Macaca fascicularis: one gene and its partners. The protein of the gene in region 5 purifies or fractionates together with the protein of the main gene of each other region. This does not show direct contact. Links are inferred from orthologs where the notes say so. Each region holds a gene or a part of one and is shown on either strand. Other genes may lie near its edges.

What was found.
Region 1: the proteins of EAPP (region 5) and TSSC4 purify together in Homo sapiens (affinity purification with mass spectrometry; 3 studies listed by BioGRID and IntAct, counting the BioPlex papers as one, with this or other methods). This does not show direct contact. The link is inferred for Macaca fascicularis from reciprocal best matches to the Homo sapiens genes EAPP and TSSC4.
Region 2: the proteins of EAPP (region 5) and CD2BP2 purify together in Homo sapiens (affinity purification with mass spectrometry; 3 studies listed by BioGRID and IntAct, counting the BioPlex papers as one, with this or other methods). This does not show direct contact. The link is inferred for Macaca fascicularis from reciprocal best matches to the Homo sapiens genes EAPP and CD2BP2.
Region 3: the proteins of EAPP (region 5) and PRPF6 purify together in Homo sapiens (affinity purification with mass spectrometry; 3 studies listed by BioGRID and IntAct, with this or other methods). This does not show direct contact. The link is inferred for Macaca fascicularis from reciprocal best matches to the Homo sapiens genes EAPP and PRPF6.
Region 4: the proteins of EAPP (region 5) and ECD purify together in Homo sapiens (affinity purification with mass spectrometry; 3 studies listed by BioGRID and IntAct, counting the BioPlex papers as one, with this or other methods). This does not show direct contact. The link is inferred for Macaca fascicularis from reciprocal best matches to the Homo sapiens genes EAPP and ECD.

What each region holds. Positions count from the first base shown.
Region 1 is NC_088388.1:2,320,729-2,327,196, forward strand, and holds TSSC4 (U5 small nuclear ribonucleoprotein TSSC4), read left to right. Parts: upstream 1-2,417; 5' UTR 2,418-3,418; exon of another isoform or gene 3,419-3,805; intron 3,806-3,987; 5' UTR 3,988-4,144; intron 4,145-4,224; exon of another isoform or gene 4,225-4,304; 5' UTR 4,305-4,327; coding exon 4,328-5,317; 3' UTR 5,318-5,580; downstream 5,581-6,468. UniProt on the Homo sapiens protein: Protein associated with the U5 snRNP, during its maturation and its post-splicing recycling and which is required for spliceosomal tri-snRNP complex assembly in the nucleus.
Region 2 is NC_088394.1:28,492,403-28,498,960, forward strand, and holds the start of CD2BP2 (CD2 antigen cytoplasmic tail-binding protein 2), read right to left. Parts: upstream 4,090-6,558; 5' UTR 4,020-4,089; intron 3,513-4,019; 5' UTR 3,487-3,512; coding exon 3,409-3,486; intron 3,129-3,408; coding exon 2,993-3,128; intron 2,868-2,992; coding exon 2,710-2,867; intron 2,610-2,709; coding exon 2,174-2,609; intron 2,094-2,173; coding exon 1,987-2,093; intron 1,921-1,986; coding exon of another isoform or gene 1,902-1,920; coding exon 1,791-1,901; 3' UTR 1-1,790. UniProt on the Homo sapiens protein: Involved in pre-mRNA splicing as component of the U5 snRNP complex that is involved in spliceosome assembly.
Region 3 is NC_088384.1:120,151,393-120,157,258, reverse strand, and holds part of PRPF6 (pre-mRNA-processing factor 6), read right to left. Parts: intron 2,064-5,866; coding exon 1,941-2,063; intron 1-1,940. UniProt on the Homo sapiens protein: Involved in pre-mRNA splicing as component of the U4/U6-U5 tri-snRNP complex, one of the building blocks of the spliceosome.
Region 4 is NC_088383.1:73,237,973-73,243,838, reverse strand, and holds part of ECD (protein ecdysoneless homolog), read right to left. Parts: intron 2,039-5,866; coding exon 1,932-2,038; intron 1,793-1,931; coding exon 1,606-1,792; intron 382-1,605; coding exon 314-381; intron 1-313. UniProt on the Homo sapiens protein: Regulator of p53/TP53 stability and function. Inhibits MDM2-mediated degradation of p53/TP53 possibly by cooperating in part with TXNIP. May be involved transcriptional regulation. In vitro has intrinsic transactivation activity enhanced by EP300.
Region 5 is NC_088381.1:102,320,916-102,326,533, forward strand, and holds the end of EAPP (E2F-associated phosphoprotein), read right to left. Parts: intron 2,095-5,618; coding exon 1,818-2,094; 3' UTR 1,452-1,817; downstream 1-1,451. UniProt on the Homo sapiens protein: May play an important role in the fine-tuning of both major E2F1 activities, the regulation of the cell-cycle and the induction of apoptosis. Promotes S-phase entry, and inhibits p14(ARP) expression.

The DNA of each region.
Region 1 (6,468 bases), on a different chromosome or scaffold from region 5:
GACCACAGGAATGCACCACCACACCCAGCCAATTTTGTATTTTTAGTAGAGACAGGGTTGCACCATGTTGGCCAGGCTAGTCTCGAACTCCTGAACACGCGAACTCAGGTGATAGACCAAGTGCTGGGATTATAGGTGTGAGCCACCACACCGGCCTAAGGTGTCTGTTTTAATGTGAATGCTGGTCAGCAGTGCCTGAATTCCCACTGGAAGAGGGTATAATGAGGCACATTGGGCCACCCACGGTCATCATGGCCTGAACTAGCTTTTCAGGTTTACTTTAGAATGCGTTTGGCCAAGAGGTGTCCATTCGGTTGGTTGGGGTTGCTTAGAATTTTACTTTGGGTTTAAACCAGGGAGTAACTCCAGGTAGCAAGGGCCCTTTCTGGGAGGATTCTCTGTGTTCTCTTTTGGGAGAGGCCCTGTGTTGCCTGCAGTCACTTCCACCCTGCCCCTTGGGCACACGAGGAGCACACAGTGTCAGTAGGTTGGCAGGAGGGGTCGGGCAGCCAGGGAATGCAGTATGAGATGGGCTTGGGGTCGGGGCTGGGTGCGCTGCAGGACTCCTCCTCCTCCTAAGGGACGGCAAAGGATGGACACACTGCTCCCTCCTGAGCATTTGAGGGTCTCTGTCCTGCCCATCTATTTCCTGTAAGTGTTCCTTTGAAGAGCTGGCGGCTCAGGCCTGAGCCATGTCTCAAAGGGGCTGGAGGGGAAGAAAGACCTCGTCCTACTAGGGAGCCCACCCAGCCCCTCAGCGGGCGGTGGTTGGGGGGTGGACAGGCTCTGGGGCTAAGCAGCCCCTGCGCTCCCCGTCCTTGCCAATGGGCTTGGTCTAGACTCTCCTATCTTCCCCTACATCGTGGGGTGGGGCTTGCTCTGGGTCAGGCTGCTTTTCCCTAGTTGTGGGGCGGGAGATGCTGGCACATTTAACTGACCCCTGGAGGAAATGAGTGCCTGGGAATTCATGTCTAGGGCTCCCAGCAGCCTCTTTGCGGGCCAATTTGGAAACTGTCCCCAGCCCTGCATTTTAGGGGGTTACAGAGTCTCTCAGCAGGCCCTCCTCCCCTGCTGCTCCCAACTTCCAAGCCTGCACTGGTTGGGGTAACAGGATGGTTCAAGGAGCCCCCTCTCTACTTTCCACTGTGTTCCCTGTGGGGAGGGAAGAGCAGTTTAAGGAATAAGGTATCCCAAAGGCGCACAGCAGACCGGGGACCGAGGAGGGGGTCCTGCTTCCCCTCCTTTTCTCTAGGCTGAGCCACAGCAGGTCCTTGAATCCTATTTCCCAGCGGATGCCAGGACAGCAGGCCCTGGGGGAGTTCTCTCTCGAGCCTTTCAGAGGGACCAGAGGTCTAGCAGCCACGGGGAACTCAGATTCCTTGACTGTGTGGGGCATGAACTCTCCCAGCTGAGAAGGGGCACAAGGTGCCAACAGGGCCAGTGGCCAAGGGAGACGCGGCTTGTCGAAGGGAGAACCTGGGCCCTCGTCTTCCCTTTCAGGGCGGGCATCTGACCTGCCCCCTGGACAGGCTCCCAAGCACGGCGGAGGCCAAACCTTCCCGGCTGCCGCCCACCCAGCCACGCTGACTTGGAAGCTTGAGCATTCAGCGGCCTCCATCCTGCCCGGAAGGACCAGGGACCTGGCCCCAGCTTCCCCGCAGCGCCCTCGGGGGACGTCTCAGTGCCTCCCGGAGCCCGGACCAGTGCACCAGAGCTGAGGGCCCAGAGGTGTCAGGGTGGCCGGGCAATTGTGTGAGGACGACGCCCCACAAGTTTGCGGCCAGGGCCCAGTAAACCCCTAGGGGTGGGAAAGCATCGGCCCAACCAGCGGGTAAAGCCCCCTTCACCCGTGACCCAGCGGCCACGACCCCGCGTCCTCATCTCGGGCTGGGACCGCCTCTGCGTCTGGCCTGAGCGGGACCGTGGGATCCCGGGGAGCCCCGCCTCGCTGCATTGACGAAGCCCAGGAGGAGCGACAGTTACCGCTTCCGGTCATGACCGGAAGTGCTGGGAACGGCATTCGTTCTCCATACGAGATGATGCACTTCCTGCCTGGGGCGGCCGCTGTTCTCGCGGTTTCCGGCAGGTGGCGCTGGGACCACGGGAAGCCGGCCCGGTTGTCGGTTAGCCGTCGAGCATTCTGGGAATTGCAGGCCTGGCCCCTCCTCTTCCTGTTCTTCCTGGTCAATTCCGGTCTTGGTTCCCCAACAAATGCCGTCGTTTCCGGGGCCGCTTCCGAGCCGGACCCAAGGGCCGGGGCGTAGAGGGGCGGGCGCATGCGCACAGGGCTACACATCCCGACAGGCGTCGGGAGTGGAGGCCCAGTGCCTTGTGGGAGTTGTAGTTCTGCAGGTGCGGAAGCCGCGGCGCTCCGCCGGCAGAGCACTCGGTTTCCCAGAGGGCTGAGCGCGCCGCGCGGACGTGCGGCGCCGACCAAGATGGAGATTGCCGTGCATCCTTGAGCCGGTAGGTTTGTGCTGAGGGAGGACGGGCCACGGTGGCCGGCCGAGCCTCCGGAAGGTCACCGAGCGCAGCTTTAAATTGAGCTCGGAGGCCCCGCTGTGCTCGCCAACCCCCGTACCTTGCGACCGGGCCCTTGGCACCCACAGCATCCTCTTGAGGCCCGGACCCGGGCCTGTCCAGCCCGACTTCGCACCGAGAGCCAACTTGGCACTGAGAGTTCGTTCTTTCCCTGGCGGGGAGGTCTTGCTGGCACATAGAGTGGAGAAAGGCCGGGCTCTGCATTCATGTGGAGAAACAGACGGCTTCCTTCAGTCTCCAGACATGAAGGAGTCAACTCTGCCCTTCCACTCATTGCCGGATCTCGCCGAGAACCCCGAGAACGGACTCCCGGAGTCCCTGTCTTGCAGCCCGATCCCCGCTCCCCCTCGGAGTGCCCCGCTACCAGGCTGCTTCTGGCCGCGGCGGCGTTCTGCTGCAGAGGACGGGAGTGCGAATCTGGGAAGTAGGGGTCTGGTTGGAACTCCAGCTTCGTCTGCAACATACTGTGTGACTTGGGCAAATTATGGCCCCCGCCCCATTCCTGCCAGTTTTAAAACGGTCATCAGTGTGGGGGGTACTGGGTATCGCCTTTCCCTGGGGTGGCTTCTTCACTGAGGAGAGTCAGGCCTCAGAGGAATTGAGGTCCTTCCTGTGTTTGACCTGGTGGAGGGCACTGACAGTCCCTAATAGTACCCCTGACCCCATCCTTGTTGGGTGCACAAGACACAGGTCACCCTGGGCGGGCAAGGAGTGTTGGTAGCAGGAGAGGAGTCAGTGGATGGATGGCCGAGGACAGTGAAGAAGGGTGTGGATGGGCCGTCTTTTTTGCTTGGAAACGCAGCTCTGAGGCACCTAGTCACTCTACCACTAAATGGGTACAGGAGGCAGCATTTGTCTGCCCAGCTGGAAAGGCAAGGTATGTGCTGAGTGTTACAGGAGGAAGGTCACTGGAGGTCGCTCCAGGAGCTGCGGGGATTTGCTTCTGCCTAGCAGGGCTGCTCAAGGTGATGGTCGACACCCCACTTTCCTGAGAGCTTGACCCTCAGATGCCAGGGCCTTGGCTGCAGATTCCTTGGGAGCTCCCGGGGATCTTCCAGCAAATAGGAGCAAACCTTTTCCCCATGGATCAGGAAGGTGCCGGCTCTTTGTGGAGTACCAACTGCTCACCCTGCACAGCAAGCAGCTTATAAGTGGCCCTCCTGCCTGATCTCGGCCCTGGGTTTAAGCCCTGGGTGGCTGCTTACTACTAAAATCGCTTAGTAGCTCCAAGCTTGCCTGCAGAGGGTTGGCACGATTAAATGAGGTAACGAGTCAAAAGTCCCTACCCTGAGTCCTAGCCTGTCAGGGGCTCTGAAAACCCAGACTTAGGTCGGTCCTGCCTGGCACCTTAAGGGGTGACAATGTGCTGGCACTGGACACAACCTGTTTCACACATGTGTGCTCTGGTCTGAGGTTGGTCCTCTCCCCCACCCCACCCACCTGCAGTTGAGCAGCTGAACAGCGGCAATGCTGGGGCACTCCCAGGCCTGAGACGACCACGCCTGTGCCACTGAGGACCTTCAGCAGGGCTCCATTCACCTGGCCCACTTGGCTGTCCAGTCACACTCCAGTGTCAACCACTGGCACCCAGCAGCCAAGAGAGGTGAGAGGAGGGCTTGGAGGGGGAGGCGGGACTCCACCCTGTGTGGGACGGTTCTGTCAGTTGATTCTCTACTTGTCCAGGGGCAGTGGATCTGCAGGGGGAACTCATTCTCAATACTTTTCCTCCTGAGAGACAAACTTCCTGGGCCGTTTTGGTTTAGGTGTGGCGTGGCCCTGGGGACCCATGGCTGATGCAGGGACAGGTGAGCCGTCCCCCAGCGTGGAGGGCGAGCACGGGACGGAGTATGACACGCTGCCTTCCGACACAGTCTCCCTCAGCGACTCGGACTCTGACCTCAGCTTGCCCGGTGGTGCCGAAGTGGAAGCACTGTCCCCGCTGGGGCTGCCTGGGGAGGAGGATTCAGGTCCTGATGAACCACCCTCACCCCCGTCAGGCCTCCTCCCGGCCACGGTGCAGCCATTCCATCTGAGAGGCATGAGCTCCACCTTCTCCCAGCGCAGCCGTGACATCTTTGACTGCCTGGAGGGAGCGGCCAGGAGGGCTCCATCCTCTGTGGCCCACACAAGCATGAGTGACAATGGAGGCTTCAAGCAGCCCCTAGCGCCCTCAGGCCGGTCTCCAGTGGAAGGCCTGGGCGGGGCCCGTCGGAGCCCTGCCTCCCCAAGGGTGCCTCCGGTCCCTGACTACGTGGCACACCCCGAGCGCTGGACCAAGTACAGCCTAGAAGATGTGACCGAGGTCAGCGAGCAGAGCAATCAGGCCGCCGCCCTGGCCTTCCTGGGCTCCCAGAGCCTGGCTGCCCCCACTGACTGCGTGTCCTCCTTCAACCAGGACCCCTCCAGCTGTGGGGCGGGGAGGGTCGTCTTCACCAAACCAGTCCGAGGCGTCGAGGCCAGACACGAGAGGAAGAGGGTCCTGGGGAAGGTGGGAGAGCCGGGCAGGGGTGGCCTTGGGAACCCTGCCACAGACAGGGGCGAGGGCCCTGTGGAGCTGGCCCATCTGGCCGGGCCCGGGAGCCCAGAGGCCGAGGAGTGGGGCAGCCCCCATGGGGGCCTGCAGGAGGTGGAGGCACTGTCAGGGCCTGTCCACAGTGGGTCTGTGCCAGGTCTCCCGCCGGTGGAGACTGTTGGCTTCCATGGCAGCAGGAAGCGGAGTCGAGACCACTTCCGGAACAAGGGCAGCAGCCCTGAGGACCCAGGTGCTGAGGTCTGAGAGGGAGATGGCCCAGCCTGACCACACTGGCCACTGCCATCCTGCTGCCTTCCTAGTGGGGCTGGTCAAGGGGCAGCCTGGCCACTGCCCAGCTGGAGTGGGAGGAAGCCTGCAGGCTGCCTGTAGGTGGCACTGGAGGCCCTGGCTGCAGCTCTGGGTGGCGTCCTCCCGAGCAGAGACCTGCTGAGGCTCCTGGGGTGTGGGGTGTGGGCTGGAAGCACTGGCTTCCTGGTGGGGACAATAAAGGTTTTGGGTCTTTCTCAGACTTTGTGTATATTTGGGCCCTGCTTACTCAAAGGGGTCTGTCGGCAGCAAGAGGTCCCCACACCTGACAGTGCTGGACCACTCGAGGGTGGCTGACACCTGCATCCCTTAACAGCAGATCACCCAGGTGACAGCAAGAGTTGGTAACCCCAGGCCGCCTCTAGGGCTTGTGGCTCAGTGGCAGGTGTCCAGCGAGTACCCTCAATGGGCCTGAGTGGGTCCAGAATCTGCCCTCCCCCAACCAAAGCCCACAGGATGCCATCAGCCCCAGGCCTAGTGCGGACCACAGCTTGGGAGGCGACAGGGAGATGACAAAATGGGTCTGGACAGAGAAGGCTGGGGTGTGAGTGGGCAGTTGCAGGGCTTGGGCAGGTGTTTGACTGAGCCAGGGGTCCAGTTTTATCTGGGTGTTTTCCAGGCTCCACTGGAGATAAAGCAGCCACTGGCACCAACAGGGGCTGTGTCCTAGCGCCATAAACACCAGCGTGTGCTGTACTGGCCATTGGGTGTTGTGGGGACAGCTGACAGACGCCGTGGGTGCCCAGCCTTGTCTTCCAGGAGCCAATCACCTGAGCCCCAAAGGACCTTTTGGGTCTTAAGTGGCAGAAATTCTAACCAGTAGTGTTTCAAAAAAAGATGAGTCTCTTGTCAGGCAACACAAGTCAGGGCAGGGGTGGGTGCAGACCCCACAGCAGCTGCTCAGTCTGGATGGGGGTGCTCCCCCGTCGCACCGCAGGGCCAGCTTTTCTGCGGTGCACGCTGGTCAGTTTCCAAGTAGGGTTACGGTGGGGCACGCTTTCTGCCCGGGGAGTAGTGCCTGTCAGGGTAGACAGCCCCATGACACTGCGGTGCCCCCAGGGAGGCCGGGAGGGACAAGGAGCGGTTCC
Region 2 (6,558 bases), on a different chromosome or scaffold from region 5:
CACCGTCGTCAGTGAGGCGCCCTAAGGAGGGGCTGTGAGGTCACGTGAGGTCGGCTTCGGAAGGGCTAGGTTTGAGTGCCTGGAGGACACCGGCAGGAGGCGCCCCTGGGCTCCATTGATTTACCATGCACTCACTCAGCACCCCTGAGAGACCATCCCTGGGGCCTACAGGTGAACCCTGTACCTCAGCCCTGACACCTGCTTTCCACTTCCGGACCTTTCTGAAATCAAGACGCATCTTTAGATCAATGGCATCTTACTGTGTCACTGGCAGGCCTCTTCTTTCTTAGTGATGTTTAAAGGAAGGTATCTTACCCCTGATGGCTTCTTGGAGTGAATGAAATTCCAGTGTGAGCAGGCACTAGAGCAGGCCTCACAAGAGCGTCCGGTAACCCCACTCCACCCTGGCCCCCAAGTCTTTCCTAGTTGCTCGTCTGGCCCTTTCTGCCCTGGGATTCCAAGTGTCCTGCAGCTCTGGTGCCCAGATCCCCGTAACTAATGGACGGCACTAAAGCCACACACACGCTCAGCTCTACAACCACAGTGGGGTCCAGGAGCCAGCCCTCCTGCTAGCGGTGCCTCAACCATGGGGGTCGGACCCAGGGGCTCTCTCTCGGCTTGGCTGCAAACTGAAAACACCTAGAGGCTTCCGAAATACCCAATGCCTGGGCCACAACCTAGACCAGCTCAATCCGAATATCCAAATAGATATTACAGCTCCCCAGGAGATTCCAAAGGGCAGCCAGAATGGAAAACCGGAAGAAACCATCTAACGTGGTGCAAGGGAGGCATAAGGCAATGCTGGTAGGGGGTAGGGGGTGGAGGGTGCCAGGCCCAGGCTATAGAATTACACCCATGCCTCTGCCACCAAACTCTGAATTCCTGGAAGGGGACCAGCCCAGCTACCTCAGTTTCCTGAAGGCACTAGCCCTGTGCCAGGCACCTAGTGGGGCCGAGAGAATGTAGGCCGCAGGGCCTCAAAGGCCAGGCAGCAAAGGCTTTGTGCCAAGAAAGGTCTGGGAAAGGAGCCCACTGGTTCTGGGCCAGCCCTTTGATTCCTGTGACCTCCAGTGAGTCACTGCCCCTCTGTGCCAGTACAACGCACGCTTGGCCCACGCTTGGCCACTGAGTTTGCATTTCACTGAAGGGCTATGGGAACGACTGCAAGGAGAGAAGAAAGCCAGGCTAGGGAAGATACTGGCTCTCAGAACCTTAGGGATCTCGGTCTTGGACCACTCATCCCACTTCTGCCCAGTGTCTATGGAGCTTGAGAGGGTGGAGCAAGAGTAAAACGTTTCCATGCCCACCCCCAACAGAGACCCAATGTCTTCTCCATGCCCCGGTCCTTCCAGGCCTAAAAGCTCCACTTCTGGGGCTCCATCCCCTGGTGGCTACAAGGACAAAGAATCTGACATCCTGAAAGCCAAAGACCTAAGGGGAATCAAACAAGAAACCTCAGAGAGGAACACAAAGTAGCGCAGTTGGGGGTGTTTACACAGCAAGCAGAGTCCAGGCAGTGAGGCCACAGGACACCTGACAGGCACCTCCAAAGAAGATCTTCATGGGAGCAAACACTCAGGGACCAAGGCAAGTCCAAAGTGGCTGTGGAGAAGGCCCCTGGCTTCTGGCCGTCAGCACAGCCAAGGCCCCAATACACAACTAAAGGCTTTTATTGGGAAAGGGAAATTGACTGAAAAATGGCCTCCAATTTCCTCACTGCCTGAGACACTTGGTGCCTTCTCCACAAAGTCCAGGAAAGAATGACCCACCAAACTGGGCCCCCAGCAGGCTCAGGTGTAGAGCTCAAAGTCAATGCGTTTGGAGTTGTAGAACTGACCACCAGGGGGGTCCAGCTTCCGGCAATAAACACCGTCCGGGAAGTAGCCTTCACTCACCCAGGTCTGCAAGGAGAGGGCAGAGCTGGGGAAGGACTGACAGGAGTAGGGGAAGCAGGGACAAGCCAGAAGGAGGGAGAAAGCAGCTCACCTGCATCTGGGCGCTGGTGAAGGGCCCATACAGCTCGGCATCCCCCGTGTTCTCCCACTTATATTCCCACATCACATCCACCAGACCATCTCCTGGCGACTCTGCTTCTAAAATAACAGGCAAAGCCATTTGACCTCCGGTGTCTCACTTCCCGCCCACTGCCCCCTCCTCTGTCCTCCAAGCTTACCTCCTCTCTGGGTAGGGGTTGGGGTCTCCAGTTCCTCCTCTGCCACTTCCTCAGCGAACATGTCCAGGGAGGGTGGGGGTGTGGGATTGTGGGGTCCCACGGTCTGACACCCCAAACCCTTCAGCCGCATAGCCAACCGTTCCCTTGTTTCCTGGTACACGCCAAGGTTGCCCCGGGCCACCATCTGGTCGGCCAACCCGGAGAGCCGGTCCAGGCGCTGAGGGGAACTGGGACGCCCAGGCCCCTTGCTGCTCCCTTTGCCTCCTCCTCGGGCCCCTAGACGCCTCAGTGCCCCAGCCACTGTCTCTCTAGGCAACAGAAGCTCCAAAAGTCCCTCCAAGAGGGCTTGGGCACTCATTGGGGTCTGGCCCAAGCTGTCTTCCTCCTCCGAGTCTGAGGCCTGGTGCTGGCCAGGTGGCCGCTCCCGGATCTTCACCTGTCATGGAAAGATGCAGTGATTTCCCACGAACTGCCATGGGAGCAGGCCTAGCATCCGCCACTCCCCGGCCCCAGCCACACCAGCCCCTGGGCCTCACCCAGTCAATGTTGTCCAGCCAGCTGTCTCGGATCTGAGCATCCCGGTTCAGGAAGTAGTTGCCATCAGCATCAAAGTGTCCTTCCTCCATCTCCTCCTGCAGGTTAAAGGGTGTGATCCGAACACCCCCCTCGCTGGGGAGTGTGGCTGCCTCCTGACCTGTACCAAAGACACAGGTGCCCTTTTCTAGGCATGGAAAAGAGAGACTGGAGCCTCCCTCACTCCACACCACCAGAGGCCCCTACTTGTTTCTCCAGCAGAGTGTATTCTTGGGTACAGCTCACCTTCTACATCCTCTGAGGCCAGGATGTCGTATTTGCTGGACCCCCCATCATCATCATCCTCCTCATCGCTATCCAAAGAGTGTTTGCCTTTGAAGCGGCTCCCAGGACCCCCTGACCCAGCCACAGGGTCCACCAGCTGTGAGCAGGAGTCAAGTCAAGAAATGCAGGTTACTGGCTACCTCCCCAAATACTTCCGGATCTGGACCCAAATATTCCCCAAATATTTCAGGATCTCGACTACTTCCCCAAATATTTTAGGACCCACACTGAAGATGCTCCCAACCCATTCTTCAGAGAACCTGAAAAAACTAGGCTTTTCTCTGCCTGCCCGCCCCGCCCCACTCCCGCCAGCTTTCTTTCTCCTCAGGCTTCTAGCTCCTCTCTTTCCCCCACACAAAGGAGTCTGGCCCCCTCACCTTCTTCTTGGGGACACTGATTTCATCCTCATCTTCCTCATCTCCCACGCCTTGGAAGGTCACTTTCCTCTTTGGCATGACGGGGCAGAGAGGTGTTTCTCAAGCTGAGGAAAGGATACAGAGAAAGAGAATGGGGTGAGGAGGGGACTCGCCACCAGAGGACCCAGCACAGCAAATATTTTTCCTGGTCTGTGACAGGTACAGTTTGGGAGCGGAGGGAGCACAAAAGCAAGGGCTGAAGAGAAGCTGGCAGCCAGGAGGCCTGCAGGACTTGGGTCTAGCATCCGCGAGTTAAATGGGGTGGGGACGGAGGAGCGGACCCTCTGGATCCCCTGACCCTGGCCAACAGGGAACAGACTTCACCACGTGACCGCTCCCAACTCCAGCCCCCGCAGTCTGGGCGCCACCGGCTCGACCGGCTGACCCCCGCCTCCTACTCTGGCTCTCTCGGAGCTCGCGGGGCCCGGGCAGACCCAGGACCTGGCGCTCTCGCCACCCCGTTCCTCCCTGCTCCGAACTCCCAATTCCGTGTGGTGAGCCCCAACTGTCCCGGGCTGTGTACAAATTAGAGGGCCACGGGGATCCGGGCTGTCCCACCCTCGCGCGCTCACCTGGGACTCCGCGGGAGGCGAGGTGGCGAAAAGAAGAGATGCTTGCGCCAAGGCTACATCCGGGGCACCCGGCCGCCATCACCCGGAAGAGGACTGTGGAAGGCGCCTGGGAAGCCCGGAAGTGGCTTCACTCGGGTTAGGGAACTAACTGGAAGAGCGGGCGGAAGTACGCGGTGAGCGAGGGAAGACGCCTCCACCCTCTCTCCCGCAAGAAGTGACGTCAGTCGCGTGGGAGGACAATGGCGAGAAGAGGGGACCTGTGAATGCCTACACTCTGACCGGGCGTGAGAAATGGCCGGAAGTACCTTCGATTCCCTCATTCAAGCAGTAGAGGCTCTGGAGAAAAACGAGAGCATCTACTTAAAGGGTCGCCCAGGGTCAGGATGGAGGGGCAAAGTCCGAGCAGGGCCAGTGGGTCGCTGCCCCGTTTTCCTGTGCTGGGTTCGAGTCACCCTTCCACCAGGGCTGAGGGCTCAGCGCCCCTACCGTCTCGTTAGAAATCCTGCCTTCCCACTCCTGTGGTCCGGTGGTAAGCTCTCCTATCTGAGAGGTGGAGCCTTGCCCTCCCCGAGGGGAAGCCTGGCTCTCCCGATGGCCAGCCCGGGGCCCCTGGACGGCTCTCGGGGCACTTTCTGGACACAGCTCCCTTTAGGACCCAGGGGAAGTCATTTGTCCCACGCCCATACCCTGGGCGAGTTCCTGGCTTCTGAGGTGGGAGAGCCATCACTGGAGAGGTGGCATTGGCACCAGTACCCAGGCCAGAAGTCCCTGTGCCCTGCTCTCAGATAGGCCTGGAAAAGGGCAACAGTGCCTCTCTGTAGCATGAAGCCCCTCTGAGCAAACAGGGCCTAGCACCACGGCCTGGAAAAGGGCAACAGTGCCTCTCTGTAGCATGAAGCTCCTCTGAGCAAACAGGGCCTAGCAACTCGTGCCCAGGTAACAGAATGTGGCCCAAGCAGAAGCGGGACTGGGGGAGGTGGCGGGGGGTCAGCCCCTGTACTGGAACCTCTAGCTCTTGAGGACACTCGGAGCCTGCATCCCCCTAAGCAAAGACTGCCCAGGCGGCACCTGCTGGAGCCAGACGAGGACAGTGTGAGAGTTCCCCTACTCTTCCCCAAGGCAACTAGATGGGCCACTTCTCTCTCCCTAGGGATTTCCTCCCATATTGGATCACGATGGAACTGCACAGAAAGTCCATGCTCAGTTTCTTCCATGGTTACAGAACACAGGCCCCAGACCAGGAAGGCATGTTGCTAAAGAAGGGGACCCGAAACCTCAGCTACCAGCACCGATGGTTCATCCTCCAAGGAAACCTCTTCTACCTAGAACACCAGACCGATCATGCACCCCTGGGCCTCATCCCGTTGGAGAACTGCCAGGTGGAGCTACACCTTAAGAACCCTATGCCTTTACCATCCTGACTCCTGGGGTGGGCGGGCCTACAAGCTGGCTGCAGAAACCCAGGAAAACCTGGAGACTTGGCTGTGGGCACTGGCTGGTGTGAGCTGGAGGTGGCTGGCTGGGCTGCTGCCCCCACTCAAGACCTAATACCGGGAGCTGTGCCAGGCAGCTGGCCAAGAACCCATCTCATGCCCAGAGGACACTGGCTTTCTAGCCACCATGAGTACCCGTTCCAGCTTCCAGGAGTTGCATGAGCACTTTGGGAAGCAGATCTGGGTGCTGCAGGTGGTACCTAGAGAGCTCCAGGCAGCCAGTGACAATGGAGACAGCACATCCCAGGCAAAGCTGGAGTAGGAGCTCAACCAGTGTCTGATGAGTGACTTGAGAGATGGACCCAAAGCCAAGAGATACCTACTTGCCAAGACAGCAGACTGTTTTAACAGAGACCCAGGTCCTGGCTCTGTCTCTCCCTCCCTCCCTCATCCTTACCCCACCCCAACCCCCATCAAGTAACAAGGCAGGAGACAGACTCGGGTACAACAGCAGGTTCTTTTCTGATTCCTCAAAGCGCTGCATGGGGTGGGGGCAGAGACAGAAGAGAATGTAAACATTGGGTTCCACCCCCTGGAGCTCAAGGGAAGACCCTTACCCAGATAGGGACTAACTGGAGGGGTGGAAGGGAACAAGGTGAAAGGTAGGGGTCCTGGTGAGACAAAGCAGGGGGGCCTGAGAACACAGAGCAAGGTGGGTTTGGAGGGTGCACAGCAGGGTGCGGGAAGGGATATGGGGGACATTTCCTATTCCAGTGCATGTCCCCTTAAATAAACTGGGTACAGGAGCATTATGGAAGGAGAACCAAAGGACAGAAGACAAAAGCGAGCATCCCCACCCCAGGCCAACCCCATCCTCTGTACATAATTACAACACAGAAAGGTCCAGAAGGAGAGCCCAGGCCAGGAATTGGAGACAGGGAGGGCTGAAGACAGGGAAAAGGAAGCCAGCTCCACCTCATGGTAAGGGGAGCCATGGAGTGTAAGAATTTGAAACTGCTGACTCCCATCACCAGGAGTCACCCCTGGGATGACAACGGGCCAATCAGGACAGCACCTAGTAGGGGACCCAGAGGGAACTGGGGCAG
Region 3 (5,866 bases), on a different chromosome or scaffold from region 5:
ACACACACGGATGAAGGAGAAAGTGAAGCTCTTCATTACTGTAGAATTCCAACTAATAAAATGTAGGAGAAACTGTTCACAAAATCATTATGCGGGTGTGGCCAGGCACAGTGACGTACCCGTAATCCTACACACTTTGGGAGGCTGAGGTGGGATCACTTGAAGCCAGGAGTTCAAAACCGGCCTGGACAACATAGTGAGACACTGTTTCTACAAAAAAAAAAAATTAATATAAAAAAGATTTTTTAAAAAATCACCATTTAGCAAACACCACAGAAATAACTGATTCAGGCCAAGAAGCATCATTAATGGATCCTCAAAATACTTATTAATAACAACAAAGAAACAGCAACCATACAGTGGAAACGCCTGCAGCCACTGCCTGCACCAGAGGGTCGGAGTCGGACAGGTGCACACCGCTCTGTATGATGCACCAAGAGGACCCAACCCAACCCAGAGGGGACACCACAGAGAACCAGATCAAAGAGGAGCCTACAGCATCACTGGCCTGTGGTCCTCAAAAAATTCAGACTCATGAAAACAAAGGCTGAGGCTCTCCCAGACTAGCCAGAGGATGGCCCTGTATTCCCCACAGAACACAGTCGGTTTTTTCTTCTGCTAAAAGGACGCAGAGACAACGGCTGAGCCTTCTTCTTCTTCTGAGATAGGGTCTTGTCATCGCCCAGGCTGAGTGTAGTGGCGCAATCACAGCTCACTGTGGCCTCGAACTCCTGAGCTCAAGTGATCCTCCCACCTCAGCCTCCTGAGAAGCTGGGACTACAGGCCTGCACCACCATGCCTGGCTTTTGTTTCTGTAAAGATGGTGTTCTGCCATGTTGACCAGGGTGGTTTCAAACTCCTGAGCTCAAGTGATCTGCCCATCTTGGCCTCCCAAAGTGCTGGGATTACAGGTGTCAGCCCCGACGCCCAGCCTGCGGGTGAGATTTGAGTAAGGTCTGAAGTTACAGCACTGTCCCAACATTAATTTCCTGATTTTGATAACTGAGCTATGGTTGTGTAACAGAATGTCCTTTTTTAAAGAAATATACACCAAAGTATTTAAAGGTAAAGGGCATCACATCTGCAACTCCTTCATTGTCAAACAGTTCTAGAAAAAAAGTAAGAAGTAAGTGAACAGAATAAGAAAGCAAATGTGCAGCCGGGCGCGGTGGCTCACGCCTGTAATCCCAGCACTTTGGGAGGCCGAGGTGAGCAGATCAAGAGGTCAGGAGATCGAGACCATCCTGGCCAACATGGTGAAACTCCATCTCTACTAAAAATACAAAAAATTAGCTGGGCGTGGTGATGGGCGACTGTAGTCCGAGCTACTCGGGAGGCTGAGGCAGGAGAATGGTGGAAACCCGGGAGGCGGAGCTTGCAATGAGCTGAGATCGCACCACTGCACTCCAGCCTGGGCAACAGAGTGAGACTCCGTCTTCCAAAAAAAAAAAAAAAAACCCACAAAAAAAAACTTAGGTTAACAGAAAGCAAGCTGTATTCCTTATGAGTGCAACCATGTGCAAAACAAGTGTATTTAAAGAGTTTTAAAGGGCCAGGCACCGTGGCTCACACCTGTAACCCGAGCACTTTGGAAGGCCGAGGCGGGTGGATCACAAGGTCAGGAGATCGAGACCATCCTGGCTAACACAGTGAAACCCCGTCTCTACTAAAACCACAAAAAAATTAGACAGGCGTGGTGGCAGGCGCCTGTAGTCCCAGCGACTCGGGAGGCTAAGGCAGGAGAATGGCGTGGACCCAGGAGGTGGAGGTTGCAATTAGCCGAGGTTGCGCCACTGCACTCCAGCCTGGGCGACAGAGCGAGACTCCGCCTCAGAAAAAAAAAAAAAAGGTTTTAAAATTGCCTAGTAGTTATAAAGTGCCTGCTGTTCCCACAAGCAGAGACTCCATATTGCGGACAAAGGCTCCTGTTGCCAACTCACACTGTCGGCATCCTCCATCCAGGTGTGCTTCCGATCTTCCTCCTCAATCCCAATCCCAATCACGGCACGCATGACAGCCTGGCAGGTGGCCACACTCCCAGCCCTGTCACATTCCTCGGCATCCTGAAAGAGCAACACAAAAGTTACTTTTGATTTTGGAAATCAGAGTTGCAGATTCCCAATAGGAAGCACGGCATTCCCGAATGGTTAAAACTGACAGACATCAGCACGAGATGCTGACACTGCCTACCAGGGATCTGAGGAAGTGAGTCTATCGCACACCAATCAGAGAAAACAACAGAGAAACGTCACAAAGGACATAGGCACACTGTTCACTAGAAAATAAAAATACAAACAACTTTTAAACATGTGAAAAGAAATGTAAAGCCTTATTATTATTATTTTTTAAGAGACAAGGTCTCAGCCGGGTGCGGTGGCTCACATCTGTAATCCCAGCACTTTGGGAGGCCAAGGAGGGTGGATTACGAGATCAGGAGTTCGAGACCCGCCTGGCCAACCTGGTGAAACCCTGTCTCTACTAAAAAGAAAAATACAAAAATTAGTCAGGCATGGTGGTGGGCGCCCATAATCCCAGCTTACTCGGGAGGCTGAGGCAGGAGAATCACTTGAACCCGGGAGGCAGAGATTGCAGTGAGCCAAGATCGCGCCACTGCACTCCAGCCTGGGCAACGGAGCAACACTACGTCTTGGGAAAAAAAAAAGAGAGAAAGAGTCAAGGTCTCCCCCTGTGACTCAGGCTGAAATGCTGTGATACAATCATAGCTCACTGCAGCTTCAAACTCCCAGGCAAAAGGGATCTTCCCACCTCAGCCTCCGAGGAGCACAGTCATGCAGCACCATGGCCCACGCCCACGGTTACATTGTTTTTTGTAGATACAGGGTTTCCTTATGTTGCCCAGGCTGGTCTTAAACTCCTGGTCTCAAGTAATCCTCCAGCGTTAGCCTCCCAAAGTGCTGGGATTAATGCATAAACCACCACACCCAGTCCCCATTCTTATTTTCAAGATGCTAATTAAACTATTCTAAGTACCATTTTGCACGTATCAGACGACCAACATTGAAACATTTGCTGACTGGCTCACTTGGTGAAGGTGGACCTAAATCTTACACTACAAAGAAGCACATGTCTCTACAGAGGGCAATTTCTCATTCTCTATCAAAATAAAACAGGCACATACTGGACCCAGCAGTTCGACTTCAAGGCATTCATGTGACCAATATATTCCCATGTGTGCAAGACAATGTGTCTACCAACAAGAGACCGATAAGCCAGCTAGAGCAACAGGGTGCAGGAGCACAGGCACCACTGTGGCACGCCAACCTGGGGGACCACGACATGAGCGAGCGAAGTGCGACAGGAACCACACGCCTCCAGACCCCCCCGAGCCCCGCCAGCACCAGAAAACCATCCCAGACAGAAAGCAGAGCCAAGAGCAAGGATCTGAGGCAGGGACGCTGTCAAGAAGGTCAGTGCTGAGAAGAACACATGGGGCAAGGACCCAGCACCCAGACCCCCAGGGCCTGCAGCAAAGGTGCTGGCTCCTCCTCCATGTACAGTTTCTAGTGAACGCAAACTGCTTCTGAACCACTGTCAAGTCAAACCATGGGAAGTCAGGGACCATCTGTATTTGCAAATTGTGTATCCAATAAGTGACTATATCCAGAATATATAAAAACATCTCTTACAACTCAATAATAAAACAACAGACAAAAATAATACATAGACAATAATAAAGACACAATCCAATTTAAAAGTAGGCAAGGGATTTCAATACCTCCATGCTACAACATGGATGAACCCTGAAAACACACTAAGTTAAGGCCAGTCACAAAAGACCACATGTCGTGTGATTCCACTCACAGGTGGCCTCAGTGTGGGACGATGTAAAAGCCACACACACTCAGTAGAAGCAATACTTAGACTCAAACCACCACCCTGTTTTTCACTTTCATCGCAGCATTCAATAAATTACATGAGTTATTCAACACTTTATGTTCAATGACTTTGCCCAACTGTAGGCTAAGGTAGGTGTTCTGAGTATGTTTAACCCAGTAGATAGGCTAAGCCACAAAGTATAGCAGGTTAGGTGTATCACACACATTTTTATTTTATTTTATTTTATTTATTTTTTGAGACAGTCTAGCTCTGTCGCCTAGGCTGGAGTACAGTGTTACGATCTCGGCTTACTGCAACCTCTGCGTCCGCCGAGTTCAAGCGATTCTCCTGCCTCAGCCTCCTGAGTAGCTGGGATTACAGGTGCCCACCATCATGCCTGGCTAATTTTTTTGTATTTTTAGTAGAGACAGGCTTTCACCATGTTGGCCAGGCTGGTCTCAAACTCCTGACCTCAAGTGATCCGCCTGCCTCAGCCCTGCAATGTGCTAAGATTATAGGTGTGAGCCACAGCACCCAGCCTCAAACGCATTTTAGACTTACGATATTTTCAACTTACAATGGGTTTATCAGGATATAAGCCCATAAGTTGAACATCTGTATATAAAATGTCCAGAAACAAAACGTATAGACAAAGTAAAAAAGCAAGGTTAGACAGGCACAGTGGCTCACACTTGTAATCCCAGCACTTTGGGAGGCCGAGGCAGGTGGATCATCTGAGCTCAGGAGTTTGAGACCAGCCCGAACAACATGGCGAAACCACGTCTCTACAAAAGACAGAAAAAAATTAGCCAAGTGTGGTGGTGCACACCTGTAGTCCCAACTACTCAGGAGGCTGAGGCAGAACTGCTTGAGCCCAGGAAGCAAATGTGGCAGAGAGCCAAGACTGATTGTCCCACACACTCCAGCCTGGGAGACAGACAGACCCTGTCTCAGAAAACAAACAAACAAACAAAAGGCTACAGAAGTGAGTAAACGGGGAGCAACAACTCACGGACACAGGACTTCTTTCTGGGGTGATGAGAACGTTCTAAGATTGTGGTGACAGATGGACAGCTCTGTGAATATACTAAACACCACTGAATTGTAAACTTTCAATGGGTGGATTCTATAGAACGCTAATCATAGCTTAATAAACTGTCACAGGCTGGGCATGGCAGCTGATGCCCGTAATCTCAACACTTTAGGAGACTGAAGTGGTAGGATCCCTGAAGGCCAGGAGTTTAAGACCAGCCTGGGCAGCATAACAAGACAAAAAATAAAAATTAAAAAATTGGCCAAGCATGGTAGCACATGCCTGTAGTTCCAGCCACTTGAGAGGTTAAGGCGGGAAGATCGCTTGAGCCCAGGAGATCAAGGATGCAGTGAGCCATGAATGCACCACTGCACTCCGGCCTGAGCAACACGGCAAGACCCTGTCTCCTTAAAAAAAAAAAAAAAGAACTAAAAAAAAAAAAAAAAAAAGAAGGAAAGGAATGAAGGAAGGAAGGAAGGGAAGGAGGAAGGAAGGACTGTCATAAAATAAAACAGAAATAATAATTTCATTATTTATTTTTCTGGAGAGAAACATAACTCAGAGGGTGACTCCTAAAAAGAAGGTAATAAAGGGAACCCAAGTCTTACTTCCTGAGTTAGATGACCTCTGGAGACTTTTCTATAGCCTTAAGTCTAGAGACACAGTTAAAAGACAGGGAAAACCAAGGCGGGCAGATTGCTTGAGGTTAGGAGTTCGAGACAAACCTGGCCAACATGGTGAAACCTTGTCTCTACTAAAAATACAAAAATTAGCTGGGCATGGTGGCAGGTGCCTATAATCCCAGCTACTCAGGTGGCTGAGGTAGGAGAATTGAACCCAGGAGGTGGAGGTTGCAGTGAGCCAAGATCACGCCACTGCACTCTAGCCTGGGTGACAGAGCGAGACTCCCTCTCAAAAAAAAAAAAAAAAAAAGGGTGTTGGCCCGGTGCGGTGGCTCAGGCCTGTAATCCCAGCACTCTGGGAGGCCAAGGTGGG
Region 4 (5,866 bases), on a different chromosome or scaffold from region 5:
GGCGTGAACCCGGGAGGCAGAGCTTGCAGTGAGCCGAGATCGTGCCACTGCACTCCAGCCTGGGTGACAGAGCGAGACTCTGTCTCAAATAAAAAAAAAAAAATTAATGAGCAGCTACTATATATGTCAAGCACTGAGCTAGGCAGCCTCTACAAAATTATTCATGGGTAGTAATTCATGGTTGAAAGCAACTCAAAACCAGGAAGAGAAAGCAAATATTTTGGCTTCTGAGATATCTAATAACCCAATGCTCTAGCAACAGCTATACGACTTACAGTTTCAAAATGAAAGTCAACATCACACCATTACTTACCTAAAATCTTATCAAAATAATTAAGAAAAGAATCTGCATCAAAAGTTATTGGAGCTTCAGAAGGTTCTCTGCAATATTAAAGGACAAAGACAATTTATTCTAAATACAACTGTTTGAAACTTTTCTAAAGTAGTGCCATTCTTAGGAAAGCTACCAAAGATAGAATTTCTAAGGAGGCACAGCAAGAAAAATTGTAGTTTTAAGTTTTAAAAATTCTTGAGTTTATTGGCCTTGAAGGACAACAGAAATGGGAAAGTCTGATAAATGAAAAGTAAAAATAGCATCTTGTTTATGTACATTTAGCTTATGCTGATTTAGGGACCTACCCACTCTCTAGCCCCAATAAGATATCTAGCATTAGCAAAACCATTATTTATTTGAGTTACTTTAAATAAAGCCTGTTCTTTTAAGAACTAAAGCTTAAAAAATAAACAAGAACATATCTTCCCTTATCCCTGCTTTCTTAAAGAGAGAATACCAAATATAAATTTAGATCTTTCATCAGGTTCAAGAGTATCAACACTAATAGTGATATATGTGATACACAAGTAACAATTATTATTATTATTATTTTATTTTATTTTTTTGCTCTCTCTGTAGCCCAGGCTGCAGTGCAGTGGCGCGATCTCAGCTCACTGCCAGCTCCGCCTCCCAGGTTCACGCCATTCTCCTGCCTCAGCCTCCCAAGTAGCTGCGATTACAGTCGTGCGCTACCATGCCCAGCTAATTTTTGTATTTTTAGTAGAGTTGGGGTTTCACCATGCTGGCCAGGCTGGTTTTGAACTCCTGACCTCATGATCCACCCGCCTTGGCCTCGTAAAGTACGGGGATTACAGGTGTGAGCCACCGCGCCCAGCCTACAAGTAATAATTCTATCTACCTGTTTTTCCTGTTACTTGCCAAATGTAATTTCACATTTCTGTTATTATTTCTGCCTTTGAGTTTTCAATATCCAATCTGTTTGCAGGGCGGGAGATCAGAGGTCTGAACTTGTTGAAAGCTAAATGTTGAGCCCATAAAGCTACTAAAGAGTAAAGTATATGGTTTCCCTGTGTGGTTCTGGATGATGGTTTTTAGGGTGATCTTTCTGGCTTATTTCAAGGATTGCAAAGGATAAGACTTCTAGAAATCTGACTTCAGATAAGTAAGTTATCACCATACTAGGCACAAAAAAGAAAGAAATCTGTACAACTCATTTACTCAAAAAAAAAAAAAAAGTGGAAATGGCAATGACTATGACTTCAACATTTGGGTTCTAACTATTTATATATTTATACTTTAACACAAATTACCGAGGCAGCTCTGCTCCCTTGTGGGTTGAGACTTTGGATATGAAAGCTTTCATGCTCTCTGAGACTTGAGTTAAGTCATAGTTCTGCTCCTTCTCCTCCTTGGAAATAGACTCTGATTCTTTTTTGCCAGCAGCTTCCTGCAGCAGCTGGTCCAGCTGATCTGGTGAGAGATCTAACCACTGGTCATCTGAAAAAGAAGAAAGCATGATATTGCCATTCTACATTCACATGATAAGTCCTCTTAGGAGAGGATCCTGTGAGACTTAGAAGAACATTTTAATTTTTTTTTTTTTAACCCTTCCACTGTATCCTGGTCCATCACTTACCATCCTCTGGAGGAAGATTAGCTGCTTCTTTCTTAAGGTCTTCTATATCAAATGGTATTGTCTGTAATAAGGTTAAGATTTCTTCACCAGGGCTCATAGCAAGAGAACTATGAAAAATAAAAAACATGAGTATTTCTTCATAAGAGAACCTAGAATAGTAATCATAAATACATAGTATTTTAAAGTTGGAAGGGATTAGCTAGTCTAATTTGGGGAGTTTTTTTTTTTTTTTTTTTTTAAAGAGATGGGGGCCGGGCGCGGTGGCTCATGCTTGTAATCCCAGCACTTTGGGAGGCCGAGGCGGGCGGATCACGAGGTCAGGAGATCGAGACCATCCTGGCGAACATGGTGAAACCCCGTCTCTACTAAAAATACAAAAAATTAGCCAGACGCGGTGGTGGGCGCCTGTAGTCCCAGCTAGTTGGGAGGCTGAGGCAGGAGAATGGCGTAAACCCGGGAGGCGGAGCTTGCAGTGAGCCGAGATCGTGTCACTGCACTCCAGCCTGGGCGACAGAGCGAGACTCCGTCTCAAAAAAAATAAAAATAAAAATAAAAAAAATAAAGAGATGGGGTTTCATTGTTGCCCAGAATGGACTCGAACTCCTGGGTTCAAGTGATCCTCCTACTTCAGCCTCCCAAGTAGCCGGCACTACAAGTACATGCCAAAACACCTGGCTCTAATTTGTTTGTTTGTTTGTTTTTGACAGAGTCTCACTCTGCCACCTAGGGTGGAGTGCAGTGGCACGACCTCGGCTCACCACAACCTCTGCCTCCTGGGTTGAAGCAGTTACCATGCCTCAACCTCCCAAGTAGCTGAAACTACAGGCATGCGCCACCACGCCTGGCTAATTTTTGTATTTTCAGTAAAGATGGGGTTTCACCATATTGGCCAAGTTGGTCTCGAACTCCTGACCTCGTGATCCCCCTGCCTCGGCCTCCCAAAGTGCTGGGATTACAGACATGAGCCACCGTGCCCAACCTTCTAATTTGTTTTTAAGCATATTTTTAGGTTACAGATCCCTTTTTCTCAAAAAAAAAAACTTTTACCAGGAATTCTAAAATATAGAAGGGCTCAAAGAAAAATGGCCTTAATTAAAGTGGAGGATAGGCCAGGCACGATGGCTCATGCCTGTAATCCCAGCACTCTGGGAGGCCAAGGAGGGGAGATCACTTGAGGTCAGGAGTTCACTTGGCCAACATGGTGAAACTCCGTCTCTACTAAAAATACAAAAATTAGCTGGGCATTGTGGCACACGCCTGTAATCCCAGCTACTCGGGAGGCTGAGGCAGGAGAATTGCTTGAACCCGGGAGGTAGAAGTTGCAGTGAGCCACCCCAGCATGGGCAACAGAGCAAGACTCCGTCTCAATAAATAAATAAAATAAAATAAAAATAAATCAAGTGGAGGATAGAGGTTCAGAGATCTACACAATTTGCCTTCCCTTTTGGCTCTGAAGCAGGCTCCATGGAACATCATTATGAAGCCACTGATCTCGTATAATTCTTTCTATACATATATGTATAGACAGGGTCTATATGTATATATATGTACATAGAAAGAGTTGTATTATATTAATAGTACATATACATATAAAAGACGTACTAAAAATACATAAAGACATACATATAACATATGTATTTTATATATAAAGAAAAGAAGATCCAGAAGGAAAGTATCAATTAAAATTTATCTAGCATGTATTAAATGCTATGCTAACACTTTAAATACATTTTCTTATTGAGTCCTCTCCTCATTATTATAGAAGGTAATAATCCTGTTTTACAGATGAGAAAACCAGAGCCCAGGGAAGTTCTATAACTTTTGCAAAGTCTGTACTACCCAGGAGGCAGAGGTTGCAGTGAGCCAAGATCATGCCATTGCACTCCAAGCTGGGCGACAAGAGAAAGACTCCATTGGGTGGGGGCCGTGGCTCACGCCTGTAATCCCAGTACTTTGGGAGGCCGAGGCGGGCGGATCACGAGGTCAGGAGATCGAGACCATCCTGTCTAACACAGTGAAACCCCATCTCTACTAAAAAAAAAAAAAAAAAGCCAGGCATGGTGGCGGGCGCCTGTAGTCCCAGCTACTTGGGAGGCTGAGGCAGGAGAATGGCATGAACCTGGGAGGTGGAGCTTGCAGTGAGCTGGGATCACGCCACTGCATTCCAGCCTGGGCTACAGAGCGAGACTCCATCTCAAAAAAAAAGAGCAAGACACAGTCAAAAAAAAAAAAATCCTCATTCTTTAAGACTTAACTGAAACACCTCCTCCCTGAAGCCTTCCATTATCTTTCTTTTTTTAACTTCTCTGCTTCAACCTTTGTGAAAGTTTATTACCTTCTCACTATGACTCTCTTTAGCATTTGATATTCCACAATGATTTTTATTTTGCCTTTTGTTATGATTATTTGGGTTATTCTTTTCTCTCTCCTAGTAATGTTTACATATTAATAATACAGAGTAGAGACAGTTCCCCATCACCTATGTGATTTTGCAAGATATGCAAATGTTTATTCAATTAAAGCAAGTCCTTTATACAACTTGATCTGGTCCATTCTTAATAGTTCAGACAGGGTGCCATCAATTTATGTAACAAATCATGTCAGCATTATGTCACTCACTCAACACATAAGTATCTCTGTGCATAGTTTCTTTTTTTTCTTTTTCTAAGACAGGGTCTCACTCTGTCGCCTAGGCTAGAGTGCGTGGCATGATCACAGCTCACTGCAGCCTTGACTCTTGGGCTCAAGCAATCTTCCTACCTCAGCAAGTAGCTGGGATTACAGGCATGAGCCACTGTGCCTGGCTATTTGTTTGTGTATTTTTAATTTGAGTAGCTGGGATTACAGGTGCCCACCACCTCATCCGGCTAATTTTTTGTACTTGTAGTAGAGATGGGGTTTCACCATGTTGGCCAGGTTGGTCTCAAACTCCTGACCTCAGGTGATTCGCCCACCTCGGTCTCCCAAAGTGCTGGGATTACAGGCATGAGCCAATGCGCCCGGCCTATTTATTTATTTTTAATTGACAAAAAAGGGTATAGGTTTATCATGTAACTTAAAAATATTGTAGAGATGTAATCCCAGCACTTTGGGAGGCTGAGGAGGGCAGATCACAAGGCCAGGAGATTGAGACCATCCTGGCCAACATGGTGAAACCCTGTCTCTGCTAAAATACAAAAAGATTAGCCGGGCTTGGTGGCATGCGCCTATAGTCCCAGCTACTCGGGAGGCTGAGGCAGGGGCATCGCTTGAACTGGGGAGGCAGAGGCTGCGGTGAGCCGAGATCGCGCCACTAAACTTCAGCCTGGCGACAGAAAGAGACTCCGTCTTAAAAAAAAAAAAAATACTGTAGAGAAAGCTAATGTTTCCTTTGATGACCACTGCCACCCATCCCAATCCATTGTCTTGTTCCCCAGAGGTGACTGCTTTCTCAAGTACTCTTCGGCGCTTTTCTTTCTCTCTGTGTGTGTGTATATATATATATATGTTTCTATTTATTGTATTTGCTGTCTGTCCTTTTGCTGGAATGTTATTCCCCTAAATACCTGAATGCCTCACTTCTTCACTTCATTCAGGTCCCTTCTCAAAGAAAACTTCCTTAGAAAGGCCTAAGGAAGTTTAATCTTCTAGAAGATTAAACTTATCTATCTAGAAGAGCAGTCTCTACCCCTGTATCCCCACTCACTGCTTTTTCTTCATAGCACTTACTACCATCTAACATTGTATAATGGCTTGCGGTCTTTCTCCTACATTAGCATGTGAGCTCCATAAGGACGAGGACACTTTGGGTTCATTTATTATATTCCCAATGCCTGGAATAGGACCTGGCACATAGGAGGCACTCGATAAATATTTGTTGAATAAATGAATATATATGTATCTATAAATAATGTATAGTTTTGTTTTGTTTTGAGACAGAGTCTTGCTCTGTCACC
Region 5 (5,618 bases):
TTTTTTTTTTTTAGAGACAGGGTCTTGCCATGTTGCCCAGGCTGGTCTTGAACTCCTGGGCTCGAGCGATCCTCCTTCCTCAGCCTCCCAAAGTGCTGGAATTATAGTCATGAGCCACTGCATTCGGCCATATCACTTTTTTTTTTTTTTTTTTTGAGACGGAGTCTCGCTCTGTCGCCCAGACTGGAGTGCAGTGGCCGGATCTCAGCTCACTGCAAGCTCCGCCTCCCGGGTTTACGCTATTCTCCTGCCTCAGCCTCCCGAGTAGCTGGGATTACAGGCGCCAGCCACCTCGCCCGGCTAGTTTTTTGTATTTTTTAGTAGAGACGGGGTTTCACCGTGTTAGCCAGGATGGTCTCGATCTCCCGACCTCGTGATCCACCCGTCTCGGCCTCCCAAAGTGCTGGGATTACAGGCTTGAGCCACCGCGCCCGGCCGGCCATATCATTTTTTTAAAGACTGAAAATAAAATACACAGATGCCTACAATGCAATTTCCCCTCAAGCTGCCACTGATGGTTTTTATATTAATACCTAAAAAAATTATATCTTGGTTGTTTGCAACAGAATAAATAGTAGGCACAAGAGGTGGCAGCAGAATTTTTTTTTTTTTGAGACGGAGTCTTCGTCTGTTACCCACGTGGGAATGAAGTGGCACAATCTCGGCTCATTGCAACCTCTGCCCCCCAGGTTCAAGTGATCATCCTGCCTCAGTCTCCTAAGTAGCTGGGATTACTGGTGCCCACCACCAGGCCTGGCTAATTTTTGTATATTTAGTAGAAATGGGGTTTCACCATGTTAGCCAGGCTGCCCTGGAACTCCTGACCTCAAGCGATCAGCCCACCTATGTCTCCCAAAGTGCTGGGATTACAGTGGTGAGCCACCGTGCCCCGCCAGAATGTTTAAGTCTAGTTAAACTCACCATAAATTTATATTTTAAAATGTGCATTCATTAAGTTTAGAATACTGGTAAGTGTCCTCTTTTTTCAGAGAAGGACCTTTATTTCTTAAAGTATCTGACAGTACCTATTCCATGCAATTGTTTGTTTCTTTGTTGTTTGTTTTGAGACAAAGTCTTACTCTGTCACCCAGGCTGGAGTACAGTGGCACGATCTCAGCTCACTGCAACCTCTGGCTCCCAGGTTCAAGCAATTCTCCTGCCTCAGCCTCCTGAGTAGCTGGAATTACAGGTGCGTACCACCATGCCCAGTTGATTTTTCTATTTTTAGTAGAGACCGACAGGGTTTCACCATGTTGGCCAGGCTGGTCTCAAACTCCTAAACTCCTGAACTCCTGATCCACCCCCTTGACCTCCCAAAGTGCTGGGATTACAGGCAGGAGCCAAGGCTAGTGGCGTACTCCACACAATTGTAACAGTTACTAAATATTGTTATTCCATCCTGTGGGGTGGAGGTGAATAAAGATACATCTTAGCAAAAACAATACAGACAATTCAGGAAAGAGTTTCCAGTTTAATTACATCAAAGCTACATCCAAAGTAAAAATAATACTCAGAAACAAAAATTGCTTATAATTCCATAACATTTTAATTCTAAAGAGCCTTAACAAAAAGCCCCCCATTTCCAAATGTTCATCAAAAACAGAATGAATCAGTCTCATCAATAAGGGGGGAAAATCAAAGGAAAAAAGAAAAGGAGAGGGTGAGAGATGTAAGAGATGAATGAAGGCTGACAACTATTCTTCTTTATAAAGAGAAACACTGCTTCCTCAGTGTCACTTATGAACAGGCAGGAGGAAAGTAACTGTCCATATTTGCCTTATATACAGTATTGGGTAATTAAATGCCAGTTGGGCTGTTTAGGAATGGCTTGCTAAAACATTGAAAAAATGAAAGACTTCATCCTTGTCATAGACTGCCACTTCAGTGGAACATTCAGTGCACATGACTGGGTGATAGATTTCTTCCACATCTGTCTCTGCCTTCTCGGCAGCATCTTCCTGGTTAGACCTCATCTTCTTATGGCCTCGCCTTTTCTTCCTGTTCTCTGAGGCTTTATATCTTAGAACCTCCTCTTTGTTAATAGAACAATTCATCACAAACATTGCTCTATATTGAGTTTTGTACGATTCATGCCTAAGAGAAAAATGAAATGGAGAATTGGGGTTTATGTTCTATGTTAATAGTTTATCCATTTAGATAAAATTTGAAAACACCAAAAACTTAACTGAAATACCAACCAAAGTAAAGACAGAGGAATAAAGAAGCAAGTTTAAAGAAATTTTAAACAGTTGTTTTAAGAATAATTAAAACTTGTGAACACAGCTCACTGCAGCCTTGAACTCTTAGCCTCAAGTGACCCTCCTGCCTCAGCCTCCCTAGTAGCTGGTATTACAGGCACAAGCCACTGCACCAGGCAGAAGAAACATTTTAGTATATAACAGTATAAAGAAGAAATGTGTGTTGGCCGGGCGCGGTGGCTCAAGCCTGTAATCCCAGCACTTTGGGAGGCCGAGATGGGCGGATCACGAGGTCAGGAGATCGAGACCATCCTGGCTAACACGGTGAAACCCCGTCTCTACTAAGAAATACAAAAAACTAGCCGGGCGAGGTGGCTGGCGCCTGTAGTCCCAGCTACTCGGGAGGCTGAGGCAGGAGAATGGCGTGAACCCGGGAGGCGGAGCTTGCAGTGAGCTGAGATCCGGCCACTACACTCCAGCCTGGGCTACAGAGCGAGACTCCGTCTCAAAAAAAAAAAAAAAAAAAGAAATGTGTCTCTTTCCTTCTGCTTTTTGGACGTAACTTTTATCTCAAGGGAAAAAAAATTTATTTGCTCTTTAAACTTAGAAAAAAGTTGTTGGAAACTTGCCAGGTAATGTGCACTAATCTTTGACTACTGTCTTTTCACATTGTGGTCTGAGACTCTGCCCTCTTCTCATTTTAGATGGCGCCATTGTGATCAACATTTTAGTAAAAGCTACAGGTTTAAAAGCTTAAGGAGCTTCTGACTTTATAATGTCTACTCTTAGCTATTATATATTTGATCAGTCTAACATAGGGGTCCCCAAAGCCCGGGCCACAGACCAGTACCAGCCTGTGGCCTGTTAGGAACTGGGCAGCACAGCAGGAGGTGAGCAGCGGGCAAGCAAGCATTGCCAACTGAGCTCTGCCTCCTGTCAGATCAGCGGCAGCATTGCATTCTTATAAGTGTGAACCCTATCGTGAACTGCGCATGCGAGGGATCTAAGTTGCGTGCTCCTTATGAGAATCTAACTAATGCTTGATGATCCAAGGTAGAACAATTTCATCCAGAAACCATCCCCCGACTTTGTTCACCTCATATATGTAATATTTTCCTACTTATTTTCCCACTTAGTAAGTTTTTTTTTTTGTTTTTTTTTTCCCTTAGACCTCATGTAACAAAAATACCTATCTGGCTAAAAAAGTGAGCTCAAACTGTGCACTCACTAGCTCCAAATATTAACCTTCACCTTCACTACCATCAAAACCACCAGGAAGTAAGAATGTGCAAGTGGGCACTTCTCAGGGAAAAATAATCTAACCTTTCAAAAAATATCTTCAAACATAAATAGTTCTAGTTTCTTGTATTAACTGTAACTGCTTGCATGACTTTATCTGTCTCAGATCTCTAAGAATCCCTTATCACGTTAATATATATTTTTCCCTTTCTCTGTATCCCTTGTGCATCAGAACAAATAATTTTTTCTAAACTTTCTTTTTTTTTTTTTTTTGAGACAGAGTCTCGCTCTGTCGCCCAGGCTGGAGTGCAGTGGCCGGATCTCAGCTCACTGCAAGCTCCGCCTCCCGGGTTCACGCCATTCTCCTGCCTCAGCCTCCCGAGTAGCTGGGACTGCAGGCGCCCGCCACCTCGCCCGGCTAGTTTTTTGTATTTTTTAGTAGAGACGGGGTTTCACGGGGTTAGCCAGGATGGTCTCGATCTCCTGACCTTGTGATCCGCCCGTCTCGGCCTCCCAAAGTGCTAGGATTACAGGCTTGAGCCACCGCGCCCGGCCTCTTTTTTTTTTTTTTTGAGACAAGGTCTCACTCTCTTGCCCAGAGCAAGAGTGCTGCAGTGCAGTGGCACAATCATGACTTACTGCAGCTTCTACCTCACAGGGTCAAGTGAGCCTCCCACTCCAGCTTCTCAATTAGCTAAGACTACAGGAATACACCACCATGTGTGGCTAATTTTTTCTTTTGTGGGGGGGGGGGTCTCCCTATGTTGCCCAAGCTGGTCTCGAACTCCTGGCCTCAAGCGATCCTCCTACCTTAGCCTCCCAAAGTGCTGGGATTACAGGTGTGAGCCACCACGCCCAACCTAAACTATTTTCTTAAAGAACACTCACTGGTGAAAGCCGGGTGCAGTGGCTCACGCCTGTAATCCCAGCACTTTGGGAGGCCGAAGCGGGCGGATCACGAGGTCAGGAATTCAAGACCAGCCTGACCAACATGGTGAAACCCCGTTGCTACTAAAAATACAAAAAGTAGCCAGGCATGATGTCACATGCCTGTAATCCCAGCTACTCAGGAGGCTGAGGCAGGAGAATCGTTTGAACCTGGGAGGTGGAGGTTGCAGTGAGCCGAGATTGCACCACGGCACTCCAGCCTGGGTGACAGAATGAGACTCCAGCTCAAAAAAAAAAAGAACACCCTTAGAAGTCTTAAATCATTTCCCCAAACTTTAAATAAAATTTTCATTAAAAAAAAAATTACTCCATTGTATTAGAACCTTGCATTAATATGGAACGTAATTTTCACCAGGGCCAATTAGATCATGAAGAAACTTTTGAATATAGGAACCCCGTGTTATGGTTTAATTGGAAGAGAGGCAACTTAAGTACAAAGACCTCATCTCATAAACAAAGTCTTTGTTAACTTATATGCAAAATGCTTAAGGCTCATATGTACAGTAAAAAATTGTTACAAATCATCACAAACCTCAAGCCAGGTAATAAGAATAAACCACAAATGGTTACTCATTAGTTCCTAGAACAAATCGACCACCCATATCATTATTTATTTTCAGTTAACTTGATTCAAAAGATGTACTAAGACAGCCACTTATAAGGCTACTAATAGAAGAAAAAAATCATGCCTATAATCCCAGCACTTTGGGAGGCCGAGGTGGACAGATAGCTTGAGACCAGGAGTTTGAAACCAGCCTGGCCAATATGGTGAAACCCCATCTGTACTAAAAATACAAAAATTAATGGAGTATGGTGGCACACGCCTGTAGTCCCAGCTACTTGAGAAGCTGAGGCACGAGAATCGCTTGAACCTGGGCAGCGGAGGTTGCAGTGAGCAGAGACGGTGCCACTGTACTCCAGCCTGGGTGACAGAGTGAGACCCTGTCTCAAAAAAAAAAAAAAAAAAAAAAAGGAACCCCTAATTTACAGGCCAATTGGATAAAAGGCATGGGTAACCTAGGGACCTCCTACTTGCAATGGCATCTGAAGTGGTGGAGGCAGTCTTAATAAGACTGATCTCAACCTGTGGGTTCTGCACTAACTCCAGGTAGTGTCCGAATTATATTGCAGGACACTCCATGTCCACAGAAAATTGAAAATTGTTTGATATGGGGGGGCAGAAGCTCCACACATTTGGTATCAGAAGTGCTGTGAGTAGAGATATAGTTTTTC